4 linked regions of the Arabidopsis thaliana genome follow. The protein of the gene in region 1 purifies or fractionates together with the protein of each later gene. This does not show direct contact. Each region holds a gene or a part of one and is shown in the gene's direction. Other genes may lie near its edges. The genes, in order: CSY2, CSY5, EMB3127 and AT4G00600.

The links.
Region 2: the proteins of CSY2 (region 1) and CSY5 fractionate together in Arabidopsis thaliana (co-fractionation; one large-scale study listed by BioGRID). This does not show direct contact.
Region 3: the proteins of CSY2 (region 1) and EMB3127 fractionate together in Arabidopsis thaliana (co-fractionation; one large-scale study listed by BioGRID). This does not show direct contact.
Region 4: the proteins of CSY2 (region 1) and AT4G00600 fractionate together in Arabidopsis thaliana (co-fractionation; one large-scale study listed by BioGRID). This does not show direct contact.

What each region holds. Positions count from the first base shown.
Region 1 is NC_003074.8:21,723,800-21,729,821, reverse strand, and holds CSY2 (citrate synthase 2), read left to right. Parts: upstream 1-1,684; 5' UTR 1,685-2,363; coding exon 2,364-2,609; intron 2,610-2,740; coding exon 2,741-2,921; intron 2,922-3,066; coding exon 3,067-3,152; intron 3,153-3,440; coding exon 3,441-3,545; intron 3,546-3,636; coding exon 3,637-3,699; intron 3,700-3,788; coding exon 3,789-3,898; intron 3,899-4,056; coding exon 4,057-4,176; intron 4,177-4,254; coding exon 4,255-4,404; intron 4,405-4,495; coding exon 4,496-4,616; intron 4,617-4,726; coding exon 4,727-4,824; intron 4,825-4,919; coding exon 4,920-5,043; intron 5,044-5,117; coding exon 5,118-5,258; 3' UTR 5,259-5,516; downstream 5,517-6,022. Other genes in the region: AT3G58760 (Integrin-linked protein kinase family), read right to left, coding at 1-6, 86-171, 266-361, 452-526, 716-1,255. UniProt on the Arabidopsis thaliana protein: Peroxisomal citrate synthase required for the fatty acid respiration in seedlings, citrate being exported from peroxisomes into mitochondria during respiration of triacylglycerol (TAG).
Region 2 is NC_003074.8:22,190,769-22,196,960, forward strand, and holds CSY5 (citrate synthase 5), read left to right. Parts: upstream 1-1,961; 5' UTR 1,962-2,119; coding exon 2,120-2,170; intron 2,171-2,253; coding exon 2,254-2,307; intron 2,308-2,423; coding exon 2,424-2,465; intron 2,466-2,595; coding exon 2,596-2,661; intron 2,662-2,751; coding exon 2,752-2,817; intron 2,818-2,906; coding exon 2,907-3,020; intron 3,021-3,112; coding exon 3,113-3,176; intron 3,177-3,312; coding exon 3,313-3,395; intron 3,396-3,491; coding exon 3,492-3,544; intron 3,545-3,627; coding exon 3,628-3,705; intron 3,706-3,819; coding exon 3,820-3,948; intron 3,949-4,113; coding exon 4,114-4,156; intron 4,157-4,254; coding exon 4,255-4,341; intron 4,342-4,473; coding exon 4,474-4,575; intron 4,576-4,756; coding exon 4,757-4,864; intron 4,865-4,939; coding exon 4,940-4,990; intron 4,991-5,074; coding exon 5,075-5,148; intron 5,149-5,231; coding exon 5,232-5,283; intron 5,284-5,385; coding exon 5,386-5,478; 3' UTR 5,479-5,679; and 1 more. Other genes in the region: AT3G60090 (VQ motif-containing protein), read left to right, coding at 90-563.
Region 3 is NC_003075.7:258,447-263,276, reverse strand, and holds EMB3127 (Amino acid dehydrogenase family protein), read left to right. Parts: upstream 1-1,987; 5' UTR 1,988-2,488; coding exon 2,489-2,669; intron 2,670-2,821; coding exon 2,822-3,147; intron 3,148-3,224; coding exon 3,225-3,461; intron 3,462-3,563; coding exon 3,564-3,731; intron 3,732-3,841; coding exon 3,842-4,012; 3' UTR 4,013-4,290; downstream 4,291-4,830. Other genes in the region: KEA2 (K+ efflux antiporter 2), read left to right, coding at 136-285, 448-501, 637-695, 786-852, 939-1,115, 1,209-1,265, 1,349-1,423, 1,497-1,622. UniProt on the Arabidopsis thaliana protein: Catalyzes the oxidation of 5,10-methylenetetrahydrofolate to 5,10-methenyltetrahydrofolate and then the hydrolysis of 5,10-methenyltetrahydrofolate to 10-formyltetrahydrofolate.
Region 4 is NC_003075.7:254,795-258,203, reverse strand, and holds AT4G00600 (Amino acid dehydrogenase family protein), read left to right. Parts: upstream 1-1,593; coding exon 1,594-1,852; intron 1,853-1,961; coding exon 1,962-2,059; intron 2,060-2,147; coding exon 2,148-2,384; intron 2,385-2,465; coding exon 2,466-2,633; intron 2,634-2,713; coding exon 2,714-2,884; downstream 2,885-3,409. Other genes in the region: AT4G00610 (DNA-binding storekeeper protein-related transcriptional regulator), read left to right, coding at 261-1,247; AT4G00590 (N-terminal nucleophile aminohydrolases (Ntn hydrolases) superfamily protein), read right to left, coding at 3,324-3,409. UniProt on the Arabidopsis thaliana protein: Catalyzes the oxidation of 5,10-methylenetetrahydrofolate to 5,10-methenyltetrahydrofolate and then the hydrolysis of 5,10-methenyltetrahydrofolate to 10-formyltetrahydrofolate.

The sequences.
Region 1 (6,022 bases):
GCATTCCTGGATACCAGAAGGATATGAAAACCTTTAGAGCATGATTAATACAATAATACAAAGAAATCAATGGATGTAGACTCACACTTTGTCTTCATCAGTGAACATTTCCTCTCCAAAGGTTTTAACAGCCACGTCAATTCCACGCCATGAAGCCTTGTTAAAGGTACCCTGTAAAGCAGACAGACAGTAATTACAACTGTGAACAGCAAATAAAAGCAAGTGAAAACAGCAACAAATAAATTTGGGCAAGGGAACTACTTACCTTTGAAATTTTGACAGAGTTGGAAAAATCAAGCTCTGTAGGATGAATCTCGTACTCTGGAACTTCTTTATCAGTTAGGACATGCATAGGAGCAATCTAAAATCAGAAACGATTATTAAAGAAATCAATCCAAACATTCAGAAACTAAAACATCCATCAATGCAACTATGAGGGATAAACACATACCGTAGGCTTAGCACCATGTTTCTCCAAAAGTTTAATCACATCATGATTTTTGTAATACACTGCATCTGCAAGAGGCTGGTAAGATCAATCACAAATTGTTAACCATCACTGTTATTGCAACCGAGTTTGCTAAATCTAAGTGCTCCAGTAAAACATATGATTTGTGCGGCAATTCGTCGAACACAAAACGAACTAAAGAGTCTACGAGAAGTCAAGTCAGGCAAAGCAAACAAAATTCAGCCCAGAGAAAGTTCGAATTCATACCGTACTACCCCATCGGTCCTTCGTATCAACCTTAGCACCACGGCTAAGCAGCAGCTCAACGACATCGGTTCGTCCTTGACAAGCGGCGACGTGAAGAGCAGTACGGGCATCGATGTCACGGTAATCAACATTAGTACCCGAATCAAGCATCTTATTGATGCCATCGATATCACCTTCGTTGGCTAAATACATTAAACGAATCGTCGGATCCCCGATCCCAGCTGTAGCCGCCGCAGCCAAGTCGTCGTCCTCATCTTCCGTTAACGTATCAATCGGGGTTCTTGATTCCGGCGCAAGCGAAGACTGCCTACCTAGCTTGAATCTCGCCGGCGATTTAGGCTTAATCGTCATGTTCAACAGAGGACTTGGTGAGAATTTTCTGCCGCAAGCAATATGAGCTGTAAATGGAACTGTAACGGCAGCAACAGAAAAGAAAAAGAAAAGTAGAAAAAAAAGTCCCAACCAATCAGCAGGCTTTAAGGGTTTGCCTCTTAATGCGGGTGAAGTATCATACTCGTTTTCCTCCTCCCTACTCATCATAATCTACAGTACTTCATTTTTTTTTGTAATTACTACTCCTTTTTTTATTAAAAGGCTAATTGCATTTTTTTCTCTCTTTTTTGTTGGACATAACTTTCTCCTTTTTTGAACAATTTAACTGAACAAACAAATAAATTTGATTAGTGCAAAAGCAAAGGATGGTACAAAAGTGTGAGTGGAGGTTTCATAATTGAATCACTTTTTAAATTTCAAAGATATTTTGAAAATAATTTGGGATAGTCAGTTAAATACTAAAAATTATAAAACTGCATTTAATTTGCAAACATAACATATGTGTTGTGAGAACTGAGAAGTGACCTTGGTTTAGTAGCAGCGTTCACAAGTCCATCAAAAACTGAATGGGGTTTTAAGTTCCTTCTCATACATAAGAGTTAATTGGGTTTAATGGACCGGCCCGTTGTGACCCAATGCAGTGTATTACCAGCCTCTTACTGGTGAATCTTTGTGCTACAAATATAAAATTTCCATATGTTCATAAATTTTAACTGCAAAGATATTGGACCATTTCCCTTGTTCTTATTACTATTGTCATCAGCCCAGGCGTAAAGAGCTAATGGGCCGATCAATACACTTAGGGAAATTAAATTTCTCAATGTGAGACCAATGAGTTGGCCCATTATCGAAAACCAGATAGTTATTTAGCAATCCGAGGACGCCAATCGACTTCTACTCGATCTACATAGCGTCTGAAAGACACTCGCTCGTGTTCTTCCACCTGTCATTCTCATTGAGCGCGTAGTCTTCACTGCCCTTGCCCGGGTGGATTTCAGAAACGAAAGTCTTAATCCTTTGATAAACTTGACAGATAAGCCTCTTTAGACTTTCCATATTAGTTTTTGACGAACAATTCTATCCGTTGATCTAAGCTGAATAATCTTATCACCGTCGAGCTTTGGATAAACAATGGATCCGATTTTCAATACACTTACCCGCAGAGAATAAAAATATCAGCTACTACCAAAATTAGCAAATGCAGGATACAAAAGCCAAGTCACTTACCGCAAGATTGTTTCTTCTTCTTCTTCTTCGCTTCCTTCCTTTGAAATTGAATTCAGATATTTTTTTTAAAATTTTTTGAGAGGAAGAAATGGAGATTTCGCAGAGAGTGAAAGCTAGATTAGCCGTTCTCACCGCGCATTTGGCGGTGTCTGATACCGTCGGATTGGAACAGGTGTTGCCGGCGATCGCGCCATGGTGTACATCGGCTCACATTACCGCTGCACCTCATGGATCACTCAAAGGAAACTTGACGATCGTCGATGAGCGTACGGGGAAGAAATATCAGGTCCCTGTCTCAGAGCATGGTACCGTTAAAGCCGTTGATCTCAAGAAGGTATGTAACGGATTTGTAATCCTGAACAGAATTGTGGAATCGAGTTAGTTTTATCTGAATTTTGATTCGTCTCACCTAATTTTCCCTGAATATGATAAGGAATTTGATGGATTTGCATGTTTGGTGTGCAGATAACGACGGGGAAGGATGATAAGGGGCTGAAGTTGTACGATCCTGGTTACTTGAACACGGCTCCGGTTCGATCTTCGATTTGTTACATCGACGGAGATGAAGGAATCTTACGTTATCGGGGATACCCAATTGAAGAGTTGGCTGAGAGCAGTACTTTTATTGAGGTTGCTTATCTCCTCAGTAAGTCTTTATCAATCTCGTTGCTTATTCTTGTTGTTGTTGTTGCTTATTTTACTTTTGTGGCGTCTACTTGTGGAAAAGAAAATGTCTTGAAAATTGTGTCTCTCTTAGTGTCGTGTTAAAATTCCCCTTTTTTTGTCTCCAGTGTATGGAAATCTGCCTTCTCAAAGTCAGCTAGCTGATTGGGAGTTCACTGTTTCTCAGCATTCAGCTGTGCCACAAGGAGTATTGGTGAAATTTCTACTCTTTCGTTATTTGGATTTTCATACTAGTGCAAATTCCAAACTTTGTATCAGAATGCAAATCCAAACCAAAGAGGGATTTTGAAAATGATTTCTTGTCAAGTGTACAAGTTGTTTGTCTTGCTTGTAAACCATGTCTATTAAGGATACTGGATCTCTTTCTAGTATTAGTACCTTATGTCTTACTCGCCGTTGTGAATATAGTTATGTGTATATGCTTAGTAAAAGAATTTTCTATGGATTTTTGATCTGAGACGATTTCTGAATGTTTTTGCAGGATATCATACAGTCCATGCCTCATGATGCACACCCAATGGGAGTTCTTGTGAGTGCCATGAGTGCACTTTCTATCTTTCACCCTGATGCAAATCCTGCTCTTAGTGTAAGTTTTGAAATCCTGTTCTTTTCGTACTGTCAAGATGCCTTTTTCTGAAAATGGCTATGCCAACTCGATTTTCTTTCATTGGGTGCAGGGCCAAGACATTTACAAGTCAAAACAAGTTCGTGATAAACAGATTGTTCGCATTCTCGGAAAGGTATTGTTCTATCTGTTGATGATTTGTTTCCTTAACGTATCTGTGTATAAGTTGCGGGACTAGAAAAAGGGTTTACAACGTGTTTGCAGGCACCAACAATTGCAGCAGCTGCTTATTTGAGGACGGCAGGCAGGCCTCCTGTTCTTCCTTCGGCCAACCTTTCTTATTCAGAGAATTTCCTCTATATGCTGGATTCAATGTACTTTCCCCTCTTTCTTCTGTCTTTATTTGATTTAACACTTGCATTTTAAAAGGGTAGTCAGAAAAACTGTGTTTCTTTAGTCAGTTTAAATCTGTTTCAAGCTTCAAACGTGTCTGTAACACAGGATACATTCTTTAATCTTCAATTGATTACAGGGGCAATAGGTCTTACAAGCCTAATCCTCGTTTGGCTCGAGTGCTGGACATCCTCTTCATACTGCATGCTGAACATGAAATGAACTGCTCTACTGCTGCTGCTCGGCATCTTGCCTCTAGGTACTTATCAGTTATCACTGATTAGAGATATTCATTTAGACTTCTTTGAGTGTTTAAATCAGTATTGTGTTTCTGCAGTGGTGTTGATGTGTACACCGCATGTGCTGGAGCTGTTGGGGCGCTTTATGGTCCACTTCATGGTGGCGCGAACGAGGCCGTGCTTAAGATGTTAGCAGAGATTGGGACTGCTGAAAATATTCCAGATTTCATTGAAGGCGTGAAGAACAGGTAACTCAATGCTTAATAACTACAAGCACCAAGTACTCTGAATTGTGGTGAGTCATGCCGGTAATGTTATATCCCTTTTCTATGTTCTCAGAAAGAGGAAGATGTCAGGTTTTGGACATCGTGTTTACAAAAACTATGACCCCCGAGCAAAAGTTATAAAAAAACTGGCAGATGAAGTGTTCTCCATTGTTGGTAGGGATCCTCTCATCGAGGTACTGTAGATCCTTGTGCTCACGTATCTCTCCTAGTATTTGGTTGTCAAAAAAATTCTTATATAACATGACTGTGGGTTAAATTTTGTTTTGACGGATGATGTTTTCAGGTAGCAGTTGCTCTAGAGAAGGCGGCACTGTCTGATGAATATTTTGTTAAGAGAAAGCTGTACCCAAATGTTGATTTCTACTCTGGATTAATCTATAGGTAAGACATTGCTGATTCATCTGACATAGACCCTGTAACCATTAAGTTCTTTACCTGAACCTTGTGTTGGTAATTGAAATGGGGGAAAAACACAGGGCAATGGGATTCCCACCAGAATTCTTCACAGTCCTGTTCGCAGTCCCGCGTATGGCTGGATACTTGTCACACTGGCGTGAGTCGTTAGATGATCCTGACACTAGGATCATGAGACCCCAACAGGTAAAATACATAACTTGTTTGATAGATCAAAAGGTTTATAGTTTGAGCTAACTGAATTGTGTGGCTGCATATAGGCCTATACTGGAGTGTGGATGAGGCATTACGAGCCAGTGAGAGAACGAACGTTATCAAGTGATTCGGATAAGGATAAGTTTGGTCAAGTTTCCATTTCGAATGCATCAAGAAGGCGTTTAGCTGGATCATCTGCCCTTTAGTCTCAATCCTAATACTCACCAATAAAGAAGAAAACATTGGGATACCTCTGGGAAAACAAGAGAGTCTTCTCAACAACATGTGTTGTTTTCTTTCTCTTATTCTTAAACACTTAATAATACAACCCTATTCTTATTGTTTGTCTGTTATTTTAAAATGTTATGATTTAATAATAATAATCTTGTTATAGGGAACGACATGTACTTTTGATAAATTGCGCTTTTATTCCTGTTAATGTTAATTTCTGAAGACATGTCTAACACATTGGTTTGGAAAATGTCAACCACCAAATCATATCATTTAGGATTAACTGAATGTTATTTTTAGGGTGAATATGTTATGCAGATTCCAAGTGATAACAATAAGCTAACCACTCATTGAACATCATATCATATTTTTTTGTACGGTATTTATAATTTGCCTGAAAGTTTCCTATCATTTTGCATTATTGCCAATAATATTTCCATTTCAAATGAGAACAATTGTGAGAAGTGTGAACAAATATAAAAGAAAAGTGACGTTAAATAACAAACCCTGGAGTACCTGACACTGATTAACAGAAAGAAGTAAGAAGCAACCAAAACAATACATAACTGTCGCAGAGACACATACTTAAAATTGGTTAAAAGCCACAAAACTCTGATTGAAGACAAAGAAGACACTGTAGATTCACGCCAATCATACCCACAAAAGTATTAAGACAAAAGTGTTACGTAATGAAATTATCAAATTTCCCCACTATAAAACCATGCATGCCTATATATCA
Region 2 (6,192 bases), 470 kb from region 1:
ATATCATTTCCCAAAACAATACAAGAAACCTGAAATCCAAAAAAGAAAAACCCAAAATCTTCGCTTCTTCATCTTCTTTTTACGTTTATATGGTGAGAAATTCTATGAAGGCTGAGTACGATATAGATCATCTTCCTCATCAAACCTTTTATGGTGATTATTCAAAAACTTTGGTTCCCATGAACAAGAACTCCCAAATAATAACCAAGATCAAGCCTAAGATCCGTATCATCCATATATTTGCTCCCGAGATCATCAACACCGATGTCAAGAACTTCCGCACACTCGTCCAAAGTCTAACCGGGAAACCGGAGATCACCAAAACCGGTTCTAAGAAAAAGATAACCAACACAAATTTTCCTGCGCCACCGGGTTTGCCTCAAGATTCCGGCCAAGAACATACGGCTGAACTGGACAACAGAATAATAGGGAGCCACGTGGTGAAGGAAGAATGGGGATCAAGTTCAAACACAAATACTTACTTTGATTTTGACGGTTTGATCGATCTTGATGAAGACGACAACATATTCTCAAGTCGATGGTTTGATCTTCAACAACAATAATTAGTTTGGTCACACCTTACCCTAATATGTAGGGTTTCTACTAATCGTAAGTCCTGTTGGTTTTGATGATGATTTGATCATTTATTCGATATGGAGCATAACAAGACATGGGTCAAGACAAGACCAAGGTTGAGACGATGATCATCTATATAGGTAGGAACATACATAACTTGTATATATGTACAAATGTTTGGATTTTTTGGGCTTGGGTGCCCTTTGATTTAATTTGTTAGACTGACTTAATTTACCAAGAAAGAGTGTAGTGATGAGTTTGTAGACTGATTTTGCCAAGAAAAAGTAAGTTTGTGTTTTGATCTCCGATCATGTGAAAACTCTACTTAAAAATGGTGTAACGTTGTACTCACGCGTGCGTGTGCAAGTTTTATATATAGAAAAGCGAGAATGATATTGTGATTGAATTTTTTAGATTGTTCATTTTTTTTCGTCAAATTATTTTGTTTGTTAATTCATATATAAGTCATGTTACTTACAACAAATTGTTTGATAAAACAAAAATGAATTCCATTAAACTGAATTAACGAAATACTATAATGATAAATGATTCTTACATGACTCTAAAAGAGTTTCGATTTGAATATATAAATGAATAAAGTTCTGTTTTATTGGCGATGTTCTTGATATATACCTTCAAAACTTTATGGCTAAATTACATTTTAACTTCTCAAAACGTTAGATTATGAAAGGTGGACTCACATTTCATAAACATTAAAATGATATGGTAATATGATTATAATGAGTTGTAATGGATATATGTCATATTTTTCCAATCTCATTCATTGAAATATCAGTTTATTTTTTGGATGACATAACGATCAATAGTGTCATATAATATGATATCCAATGTTTTAATATTAACTAGCTATAGCTATATCCATCATTGTTAATAGTTGTGTTACATCATTAAATAGTATTTCAAAAGAATATAAAAATTTCTGATAACTAATGGAGAATGAAGAATATCAAACCGCCCATTCGACCAAGAAATTATAATAACGAAGTTTATAACTTTTTTTTTCAATTGTGAAATGTCATTTTTACTTTATTTATTTCCAACAAAATAAAATTATGTTTTATCTAAACCCTTGGACTTTACCAAGAAGCTACTTTTTTATTTAGCAACAGCAAAAGCTACATACCATTTGTTCTTTATTTATTAATGACCGTTTTTTTAGGCATTAGAATCGTTACGGCTGCTTCGAATCTTGCGTCTCACGGACCGACGGAACTAACCAATCTCAACCGAACCCGAACATAACCTGTTCGTTTGGTTTTCTAAATGGTAATCAATTGGTTCATTATACCGGTTTGGTAAGAAGAATCCGTGTGTTTGGTTTACATATGTTGTAATTTGACGCTTGTTCATCACGTTGCAGATATATCTCAACATCTCTCAATTTTTCTCTCTACGTTGAAGAAACTTTCGAATTTCCCGTTAGTTCTTCTCCACGCTTTCTCTTTCCCTTTATCTCTTATCTGGTTAAGCCAATCTTGATTGTTTGGATTCGTAACCGATCAGTGTTGTGAGGTTTGAAAGAATGGTGTTTTTTCGCAGCGTATCAGCCATTTCAAGACTACGGTCTCGAGCAGTGAGTAGATTTAGCTTTCATCCTTTTTGTGTTTTGTTTGATGTGATACAATTTGATGATCAGATCTAATATAAGAAGCACAGGTGCAACAATCCTCACTTAGTAACTCCGTCAGATGGCTCCACTCTTCTGAATTGGTACTTTCTTAGGTTTTCATGTTCTCGTGATCATGCGGTTCAGTTTGAGAACCAAAAATTTGGAATTTTACCTTCTAGGTTTTGTGTTGATGTTGCTTAAAATGATGGTAATGCAGGACTTGAAGTCGCAGATGCAAGAGATCATTCCAGAACAACAGGTTTAGTTTCTACTTCGTTGTGATTGAGATTGTTTCTAATTTTAGGGCAGATTTCATGTAGAGATCAAGCTCTTCTCTCTGTTTTAGTTGATGTCATTTCTCATACACAAACACAACTTTCAACTTTCAGGACCGTTTGAAGAAACTGAAATCAGAACAAGGAAAGGTTCCAGTGGGGAACATCACCGTTGATATGGTACGGATTCTAATGATATTTGTGATTACACAAAGGCTTTATCTTTTAAACATACTCGTATATATAGTTTTACATGTGGTATTTGTGAAGGTACTTGGTGGAATGAGAGGGATGACTGGATTACTCTGGGAAACCTCATTGCTTGATGCAGATGAGGTATGGTTATAATTTTGATCACATAGATAATTTTCAGGTCAGATCTTGAATTAGAATTATATAACATATGATATTATCTTTTGTATCAGGGAATACGGTTTAGAGGCATGTCGATTCCTGAATGTCAGAAAATATTACCTTCAGCTGAGTCTGGAGAAGAGCCCTTGCCTGAGAGTCTTCTGTGGCTTCTATTAACTGGAAAGGTGTGATAATCTTAAAACATTTTATACATACAATAAGTTTCAACTTTATATATGAATGATCTAAAGTATAGTTTTCCCTCCTTTCGGTATAGGTGCCAACTAAAGAGCAAGCTAATGCTTTGTCAACAGAGTTGGCTCATCGTGCGGCTGTGCCAGGTTTGTAGTTCACCTCTAGGCTCTGTTTGTTTATGACCTCAGTTTCATGACTCATCAAAACTTAGCAAAATACAAGCTGATGATAATTATAAACTGGATATTATGATGTTGCAAATATAACAACTCTCCATTGCAGATTATATATACAAAGCTATAGATGCTTTGCCTTCAACAGCTCATCCAATGACTCAATTTGCTAGTGGTGTTATGGCCCTTCAGGTGGATTGCTCTGTTATGTACTATTTTTTTTTTCTATGCATTCTCTTAGAATTTGTTTATTTTCAGGAGCATCTTATCTTGTTGATTGTTATTCAGGTTCAAAGTGAGTTTCAAAAGGCGTATGAGCAGGGTGATATTTCTAAGTCAAAGTATAAACTTTCAATAGTTCTATACTTTGTTTCTTGATTGGCTTATAGTAGTAGGCATCATAGAAACTGAGGTTTCTTGTCAGGTACTGGGAACCAACCTTCGAAGATGCCCTAAACTTGATTGCTCGTGTTCCTGTTGTAGCTTCATACGTTTATCGGAGGTTAAATTTTAGGATCTTTTCCAATGCTTTTAGCTTCCTGGACTAGTTAATTTTCTTAGATTTTCCTTTCTTCAGAGTGTTATTTTTCAATGTCCATTCTAATTCACATTGCAGGATGTACAAGGATGGTAGCATCATTCCATTAGATGATTCTTTGGATTATGGTGCAAATTTTTCACACATGCTGGGATTTGATAGTCCTCAGATGAAAGAGCTCATGAGGCTTTATGTCACTATCCACAGGTTAGTCCTGGTTCTCTTCGTTTCAACATGTCTCATTAATTAGAATACATAAGCTAAAGTTTTCTTGTATATAATGATGATCTTCCTTTATTTTACCAACTCTTACCAAATTTCTATAGCATGATCAAGGTTTTTTTTTCCCTTGTCTACTGGTTTCTGTTTTAGTGATCATGAAGGTGGAAATGTTAGTGCTCACGCTGGTCACCTGGTATGTATTTGCCACATGATCTTGATGCATGATAATGTTTTGAACTTATAGACATTTCTGATGGTTCTGTTTTTGGCTAATGATGTTTCTTCACTTAGGTTGGGAGTGCACTTTCAGATCCATATCTTTCATTTGCTGCTGCATTGAATGGTTTAGCTGGGCCACTCCATGGTTTGGCTAATCAGGTATTTATATCCTTAATGAGTCTTATATTGTTCGAATCTACAAGTGTATATAACTTGAACTCTAAGATTGACTCTTAATTATAAGCTTAAACTTGGAATCTTACTCTGTTTTTTTTCGTTGTCTTGTTGTAGGAAGTTTTGCTGTGGATCAAATTAGTTGTTGAGGAATGTGGAGAAAGTATATCAAAGGAACAGCTAAAAGATTATGTCTGGAAAACGTTAAACAGTGGCAAGGTTGACAAAATTATGCTCTGCTTTGCCTTTTGAAACTATCCATATGTATTGCATGCTAATCATGACAGGCCATAACTTGAATTATTGTATAAATAATGAATAAAAGCTTCGGATTATGTTTTGATTATGGGGTTTGCCTGTGAATGTTGTCAGGAAACTTAAATAAACATTTGTCTTGCAGGTTGTTCCAGGATATGGCCATGGTGTTTTGCGTAAAACGGATCCAAGATATATATGCCAAAGAGAGTTTGCCTTGAAGCATCTACCTGATGATCCTCTTTTTCAGCTGGTAACTTTTTTTCCCCCTCAAATCTTTGGTCATGCTTTAAAATTTTACTGGCTCACAAATTATGCAAGTCTATAGGTCTCAAAACTTTATGAAGTGGTGCCTCCTATTCTAACCGAGCTGGGAAAGGTACTACTTATACTCATTCATTTCATGTGCTACCAGATTTTCTGATTTTCTCTGGTTTTATGAATCTTGAAATTGCTGTATCAGGTCAAGAACCCGTGGCCTAACGTTGATGCTCATAGCGGAGTGCTTCTGAACTACTATGGTCTAACCGAAGCAAGGTAGGAACTACTTGTGTATCGAGGCTTTGACCTTGTTTTGCTGAATCTTGGTTATTATAGAGTGACATTCCTTTCAAATATAGATACTACACGGTGCTTTTTGGCGTCTCAAGAAGTCTTGGAATCTGCTCGCAGGTACATACATACATTCATGCCATCGACAATTCGATTTTAGTACGTATCGCCATATCCTTCACAATAAAGTCAGACTAATCTTTTATTCCTTTTCTGTTTCAGCTGATATGGGACAGGGCACTTGGACTGCCACTTGAGAGACCAAAGAGTGTAAACATGGACTGGCTCGATAACTTCACGCGCTTGAACCGCTAAGTTAATCCCTGACTGATGTTGGTCAAGGTTCTCTCTTTTATCACTTCAGCCTTCTCTTCCATTTGATTGGGTAGCTTTTAGAGATAAAAAAAAAACGATTTTTCGTCGAAATTTTGTTCTACAGAGTTTTCATTTTGGTTCTTCTGCAAAAACAATAAAGTCAAACAAGTAAAGAAACAGTCTTTCTCAGATTGAGACACCATATTATTGTTCCTCAACTTTGATAGACAAATGATGACCATTGATATGTATTGATTAGTCTTTGGTGAATTATCGCATAATAAACAATACTCATGCAACCAGTCCCGCTCAAACAGAGTGTTTGAAGTGAACAGAAGCAGAGTCAAGAAATTCAAAGCCTCGGGATCAAACAGAAGCTTCCTCCTATCTTAAGAAGCTCCCTACGAAGCTTTATGATGATTCTACAAAACACATTTGCTATCTTCAGTGAACAGTAAGATGCAACGTGTTCTCTTCTAAACCTTCAGATATTTGGCTAAGTATAAGACTCTTCGTAATCACAAAAAGCCAGAAATGCGAAATTGATTTTGAGTCTTCTTCCTCACAAGTTTTCTCTAACTTTCAGAGGAGTCGCTGGATCCTGTTACCGAGAATTATTAGAAACCGAGAGCAGAGGTTTCTAGCTAGGACAGGAAATATATTATTAGAACATATCCTAGTCTTCCTTGTCATGGCCAGTCCAGTGGTGCAAGA
Region 3 (4,830 bases), on another chromosome or scaffold:
TCTATTAGTTTACAATTAGTCATTTAAATGAAAACTAGAAAACGATATTGTCATGTTTTATGGATATGACAGCTGAGGTTTCAGTTCTACTTTATTCCCATGTTTCCTCTAAGGCTTGATTGGTATTTCTTCCAGGGTATAATGACTCCGCAGCTATCTTCATTACTGTTTCTCGTCGTGGGAATATCAATGGCTCTTACTCCTTGGTTAGCTGCTGGCGGCCAATTAATTGCGTCTCGATTTGAGTTACAAGATGTTCGAAGTTTATTACCAGTTGAAAGCGAGGTACTCCTTCACAACACTTTAAAATAAGTCATTTATCACCATTCCTAGTTTCAATTGTAAATTTAAAACAATAAAGCCATGATTGACCTCAATATCCTTCCGAAGCTCATGCATTCTTGGGGTAAAAATGACTGATCCTTTACTTTCTGAATTTACTTGCAGACGGATGATTTACAGGGTCACATCATTATTTGCGGATTTGGACGAATTGGGCAGGTTGGTATCGTTATCTATAAACTTTGTTGCGAAAACAAACTCCTCTAGAAGTTTAGATAGTTTGATTTAGAGAATAGTTTGGTGATATATGATTAAATTCGTCTTTGACCGCTGCTTTCTAAATGTTAAACGCAGATAATCGCTCAGCTTCTTTCTGAAAGACTTATCCCATTTGTTGCCCTCGATGTCAGCAGGTAATGTAACATGCTTGCCTTGTCTTGCTCAATGTATCTAACCAGCTCTTTATTTGTCTCATTTCGCACCAAAAATCTCTTATTTTACAGTGATAGAGTAGCAATTGGTCGTTCCCTAGATCTTCCAGTTTATTTTGGAGACGCTGGTAGTAGAGAGGTAAGAGTAGAAAGCTGATGAAACAAGTCAAAAGTATAACCACACATCATCCAAAATTATTGACGTTGTTTTACCTATACGTGCAGGTACTCCACAAAATCGGGGCAGATAGAGCATGTGCTGCGGCTATTGCTTTAGACACACCTGGAGCAAATTACAGGTGTGTCTGGGCTCTTAGCAAATATTTCCCCAATGTCAAAACCTTTGTCCGTGCACATGACGTTGATCATGGTCTCAATCTTGAAAAAGCCGGCGCTACCGCTGTAATAACTTCCACAACTTTTCTATTCTCCTTCTGTCATTGCACAACATTTTCAAAGTAAACTGATTAAAATCTCGATACAAAAACTCGTTAGGTTGTTCCTGAGACGCTGGAACCAAGTCTTCAGTTAGCAGCTGCTGTTCTTGCACAGGTACAAGAGATAATTCTTGTAGTCATTAAGTCACCAACAATGTTATTTGGGGTATTTGTTAAACTTGTCGGCTTCTTTTTCAGGCCAAATTACCTACATCAGAAATAGCAACAACGATCAACGAGTTCAGATCTCGTCACTTGTCTGAACTAGCTGAGGTATATATTTGGTCTATTTAAAAAACTACAATTCTTCTTACTCTCCGGTTTAATGGATCCTATGATGGTACAGCTATGTGAGGCAAGTGGAAGCTCTCTAGGTTACGGGTTCTCAAGAAGTACGAGCAAACCAAAACCACCATCACCATCTGAAACATCTGACGATAACCAGATTATTGAAGGCACACTCGCTATCTAACCTTTTTTCTCGCTTCTGGTAAGACCACACAATTTCAACTTCTTTTGCTTAAAACTGTACAGAAACCAAAATCCTTATTTTGAAGAATCTTAGCGGAGAAAAAGTAACAAACTCTCAAAATTTTGATGGGATGATGATGTGTTGAAATTTCTCTAGTTTCTTTCCTCTGGGGGAAAAACAAAGGCAAATAATATTTGTATTCAACATATTGGGTCTAATATGTGAATCTATCCCTCATTTATCCGACACTATTTGTCTGTACTTTCTACCTTTGCTTCACCCTTCAACAATCTTGGCAATCGCAATAACATGACTTGCTCTGATACCACTTGTAGTACATTTAGCTTTGATTGTTGGAGCTCTCGAGTTAAATCACAAGGGTATATATATCTAGTGTGGTACTTTAGACCGCAAATAGAGAATAGACCGTAAGTCAACGAACTTACATGTATTGTTTATATATTGATCAGTGTTAATTACATGATTAATCTGAGTTTAAGACGACTAATCAAATTAAAAAGCTACTAAAAATATGAAGCGGTCCGATTGGATTTATTAAAAAAGAAAAGAAAACGAAAGACTGGTATAATAAAACCGGAAAATTCAGGTGAAATCAACAAACCGGTTTCTTTTGTGATTTGAATGAACTTAAACCCTTGTTGATATCAAAAGAAGAAACCCTAGTCTCTCCGACTCTCCGTAGACGACGAAGTTATCTTCTTCAATTCATCGTCTCTTCTCTGCTCTGCTTTGCTCTAGATCACAAATTAAAAGACTTCATTAGTCTTCCTGTCTCCACCATTACCTTCTTCCTTTTTAACTCAGCCACGACGAGCAGACTATTGTTCTGTTTTCCTTGTATAAAAATGGCGTCGATGATGTTTACCGATTGCTCCTCCACCACGACGTCGCGTCTCATCCATTTGAACCGAAGCAGCGGTACTTTCCTCCTCCGTCAATGCGTCGGCCAACTCCGTTTACAGACCACTGCTTCTGGCCGTGGCTGCTGCATTCGCTCCTCTTCTTCTCCCATTTCTTCCATTTCCGGTAATGATTAAACCTTTTGACTTAATTGAGCACCAAATTTGAACTTGACATCGATTGAAATTTGTAGACAATTAGACTGTTCTTCCCTGGAAAATTGAGTTTCTTTATTCTCATGTTGGAATCATAAATTTTTTTTTTTTTTTTTGGTACAGCTGATACAAAATCAGAGGGTGGCGCAATTGTAATAGATGGAAAGGCTGTGGCAAAAAAGATTAGAGATGAAATCACAATTGAAGTTTCAAGAATGAAGGAATCAATTGGTGTGATTCCTGGTTTAGCAGTAATCCTTGTTGGTGACAGAAAAGATTCTGCAACTTATGTGAGGAACAAGAAGAAAGCTTGTGACTCCGTTGGAATCAAATCGTTCGAAGTTCGTCTAGCTGAAGATTCATCAGAAGAAGAGGTGTTGAAATCTGTATCAGGATTCAATGATGATCCTTCTGTCCATGGAATCCTTGTTCAGTTGCCTCTGCCATCGGTAAACAAAGTCTAATAACTTTCTTCGGAACTTAAATAAACAGTGAATTACAATAGTGTTTTGGGATGTTGTTGCAGCATATGGATGAACAGAACATACTGAATGCGGTTAGTATAGAGAAAGATGTTGACGGATTTCATCCGCTAAATATTGGACGGCTTGCCATGCGTGGAAGAGAACCCTTATTCGTTCCTTGTACTCCAAAAGGATGCATTGAGTTGTTGCATAGATACAACATTGAAATCAAAGGAAAGAGAGCGGTTGTTATCGGAAGGAGTAACATTGTCGGTATGCCAGCTGCTCTTTTACTGCAGGTAATGATGATGATACCTTCTTTAAGATGCCGTTTTTTCTGGTTGTGACATTCGAAAGTTAGTTACATGTTTGGTCTTTATTGTTGTGTTTTGTATTTGTAGAGGGAGGATGCAACCGTTAGCATTATCCATTCAAGAACCAAGAACCCTGAAGAAATCACAAGAGAAGCTGATATTATAATCTCAGCTGTTGGACAGCCAAACATGGTCAGAGGAAGCTGGATAAAACCGGGCGCAGTCCTCATCGATGTTGGGATTAATCCTGTTGAGGTGAGTGGAATTTTCTTTTTGACATATGGTCATGGCGTAATTCAGTGATATAATAAGTTTCAAATCAACCAGTATGCAACATTCATACATGTACATAATATGAATTGCAGGATCCAAGTGCTGCGCGTGGATATCGATTGGTTGGAGACATTTGCTACGAGGAGGCTAGCAAAGTTGCATCAGCCATCACACCTGTTCCTGGCGGTGTAGGACCAATGACCATAGCCATGCTTCTATCCAACACTTTAACATCAGCTAAGAGGATTCACAACTTCCAGTGACGTCACTTAAAAAGAAGATTGCTGGCCTTTTGGGAAACAAACAAATCGTACTCTGTTTTTTGAAGCCAATGATTTACTTTGGTCTTTAAAGAAAGTTATCGTTTTGTTCTATGAAACAAAACATGTAGTTTTTAAGTCACATAAATTGTCTTCAACATTGTTTGTCTCTTCTTGGTATTTTGAGTCAGAACTAGTTTTAACTTATCCCAGCTATGATATATCCCAGCCTCACCCATCGGTCTCTTCGTCATTATACTTTATTTATAACTACCTTTCAACGAAGGTTAATTTGAAACAAGAAAACACAGTCACTTGTTCTACATTACTTTTGTTAAACCCTAACTTGAGCTCGAAGCCACGACCACTGTTCTGTTTTCCTAGTAAAATAATGGCGTCGTTGATGTTAACCGATTGCTCCTTCTCCACGACCTCGCGTCTCATCGATTTGAACCGCCTCAACGGTGCTTTCCTGCCCCGCTGGTGCGTCAGCCAACTCAAGCTTTCCCACCACTGCGCCCGGACGTGGCCGCATGCGCTCCTCTTATACCACTGTGCCCGGACGTGGCCACATTCTCTCCATTCGCTCCTCTTGTATAGACTAAACCTTTTCATCCAATTGCTTACGTATTTTCAGATATCCAACTCTTAAGATTTTACTTTTCTGTTCAGCTGATGAGGCGATGGTATTTGATCAAACGGCTGTGGAACTAAGTATCATGCAGGAGATCAGAGTCGAAACTTCAAGAATGGAGAAACTAATCAGTCCTGGTTTAGCAGTAATCCTTTTTGGGGACAGAGAGTTCTCTGAAGAATATAAA
Region 4 (3,409 bases), on another chromosome or scaffold:
ATAAAAAAGATATTACTCGATTAGTAATTACTGATTAACTGAATCATTGATCTCATTAAACAATTAAAGAAAGATTACTCGATTAGTTAGCATTTAGTTTTAATTTTTTTAATATACTAAAAATACCAATCGGAAATTCAGTTACCAAAATTAGATTTATTAACATTTACTTTTTGAATTTTAGATGTACACCATAAACCCCGTAAAATTGGTCAAAGATTTATGATACTTGTAATTAAGGAAAGAACCAAATGCAATATATGGTTTCGGTGCAAAACCTTAAAACTGACCAACTTCTCAATTTTTTATTTAAAAACCCTACCAAATTTCTCTCTCGTTTCTCTCCGATGGCCAAGAACAAGACTTTGGTTACTCCATCAACGGTGAAGAAGTCATCTGACGTCGCATCTACGTCAAAGAAACTGTCGGGAGTCGCATCTCCAGCGAAGAAACCGTCGGGTGTCACATCTCCGGTCAAGAAGCCGTTGGAAGCCGTCGCATCAACTTCATCTGAGGAGGAGGAGGAAGATGAGCCTTCCAGCGATTCAGAGTCGGGATCGGAGAGTGAGTCTGACACTGAAGCTGAGCCGATGACTCTTGCTGCTGCTGCTCCTTCTTCTTCGAATGAGAAGAGACAAAGTGAAGGAAAACCAGAGGAGGAACGAGCCAAGACTGAAACAGAGACGGGGAAGAAGCCACTGTTGTTTCAGAGATTGTGGACTGATGAAGACGAGATCGTCTTTCTTCAAGGAATGATCAAATTTGCTAAGGATACAGGTAAGAATGTTTCCGAGGACATGAATGGCTTTTTCGAAAAACTTAAAGATTCGATTAGCTTTGAGGTGAAGACTGATCAGTTCGTTAACAAAATCCGGTCTATGAAGAGAAAGTATATTGAGAACAAGAAAACTACTACAGAGCATGATAAGAAGTGTTACGAATTGGCTGAGATAATTTGGGTAAGTGATGGTGATGCTACTGCTCTTGTGAAGCCAAAGAAGAAGAAGCTTAAGGTTGATGAAGAAAGTGATTGGTTCGAGAGGTCGTTTGTTGATGGTGCGTTTAAAGAATTGGGTCCGGGGGTTGATGAAGAGACATGGAAGAAGAATTGGAGTTTGGTACCGGTGAAGAAGAGGAAGAGGATAGAAGAAAAGGTGAAGTCCATGCAAGCTGATGAGCTCAAAACGACGTGGCAGAAGATTGACGTTGTGCATGAGATGAGATCTTTGATGGCTAAATATGTTTAGTCTTTATCTGTTTAGAGATGCATTTGCCTATGTTTTTCTTTTTGGTTTTGTGTTGGAACCTTTATGGCTTTCTCGTTTATTCATATGTTTTATGTTAAAGATGTTTTTTTGGATAACAAAAATAGGTGGTTTTTTGTTTGCATCTTAGTCTTCTTCCTTTGTTACTACAGACATGAAATCGTTAGATAATTATGATATGATATAAACTAATAATGATTCTAGGAGATAATTCCTAATGGATTTAAGATAAGTACATATCTTCTATATCTACCTTTACACACACGTTAACTTAGAAACAATCTACTTTGTTTTCTTCTGTTTGCCTAGTAAACAAATGGCGTCGATGATGTTTACTGATTGCTCCTCCTCCACAACGTCGCGTCTCATCCATTTATACAACCGCAATGGTGTTTTCCTCCCCCGCCCGAGCGTCAGCCAATTCAGCTTACGGACAACTGCGTCTACTTGGCGCTGCACTCTCTCCATTCGCTCCTCTTCTTCTCCATCTGCGATTGTAATTGATGGAAAGGCTGAGGCCAAAAAGATTAGAGATGATATCAAAATCGAAGTTTCAAGAATGAAGGAATCAATCGGTGTGGTTCCTGGTTTAGCAGTAATCCTTGTTGGAAAAGAACAAGGAATCCGCTACTTACGTGAGGAACAAGAAAATAGCTTGTGAATCCGTCGGAATTAAATCAGTCCAAGTTCGTCTAGCTGAAGATTCATCAGAAGAAGAGGTGTTGAAATATGTATCAGGATTCAATGATGATCCTTCTGTTCACGGAGTCCTTGTTCAGTTGCCTCTACCATCGGTAAACAAAGTCTATCTTCATATTCTTCATCATAACTTAAAATAAACAGTAAATTACAACGGTGTTTTGGGATGTCGTGTATATGCAGCATATGGATGAACAGAACATATTGAATGCGGTTAGTATAGAGAAGGACGTTGATGGATTTCACCCGCTAAATATTGGACGGCTTGCCATGCGTGGTAGAGAACCTTTATTCGTTCCATGTACTCCAAAAGGATGCATCGAGTTGTTGCACAGATACAACATTGAATTCAAAGGCAAAAGAGCAGTTGTTATTGGAAGGAGTAACATTGTTGGTATGCCAGCTGCTCTGTTGCTGCAGGTAATGATGATTCCTTCTTCAATATGCCATTTTTTCTGGTTAGGACAACATTCTTTATCGATGTTTATTTTCTAAATGTAGAAGGAGGATGCAACCGTTAGCATTATCCATTCAAGAACCATGAACCCTGAAGAACTCACAAGACAAGCTGATATCCTAATCTCAGCTGTTGGGAAACCAAACATGGTCAGAGGAAGCTGGATAAAACCGGGTGCAGTCCTCATCGATGTTGGGATTAAACCTGTTGAGGTGAGTGGAATTTTTTGACATATGGTAGTATAATGAATGATCAAATCAAATACAGTATGTGAAAGTAATATGAATTGCAGGATCCAAGTGCTGCCGGTGGAGAGCGGTTGGTTGGAGACATTTGCTATGTGGAGGCTAGCAAAATTGCATCAGCCATCACACCTGTTCCTGGTGATGTAGGACCAATGACCATAGCCATGCTTCTATCCAACACTTTAACATCAGCCAAGAGAATTCACAACTTCCAGTGACTTCAAAGATGATTGCTCGCCTTTTTTTAAATAAACAAATCTTACTTTGGTTTTTTGAAGCCAATGATTTTTGCTTAGCGTTAAGTCAGAAATAATATTATTTCGGTTCTTGTTCTTTGATTTTAGAGGTTACCTTATCCAGATTGTGAGTTCCCTGATTATCTTGCGGCTTTGCTAGATAATTATTTGGATCTTTATAAGTTTGTGTGTGAGCTTTTGTTCATTTTGGGAGTAGAACTACCATGAAGCAACTGTGGTGATTGGCAAAAGCATTTTTGCTTTATCAAATGTATCTTTTAACGTAATGTAAGTCTTGGAAGATAGCTTAAGGATGAAGTCATTACGATTGATGTTGGAAGTCATTTTGGTGTGTCCCATGACTCCTATGTTACAGATTCTGAAACTTTTCTCCACAAAATACCAAAACTTCAGAAATTAATCAGCAACAGGTTGGGCGGAGATCAATCCGGGCTTCAAAATGGTCTACCCCAGCCTCACTCATCTGTCTCCTCGTCCTGAGAATCG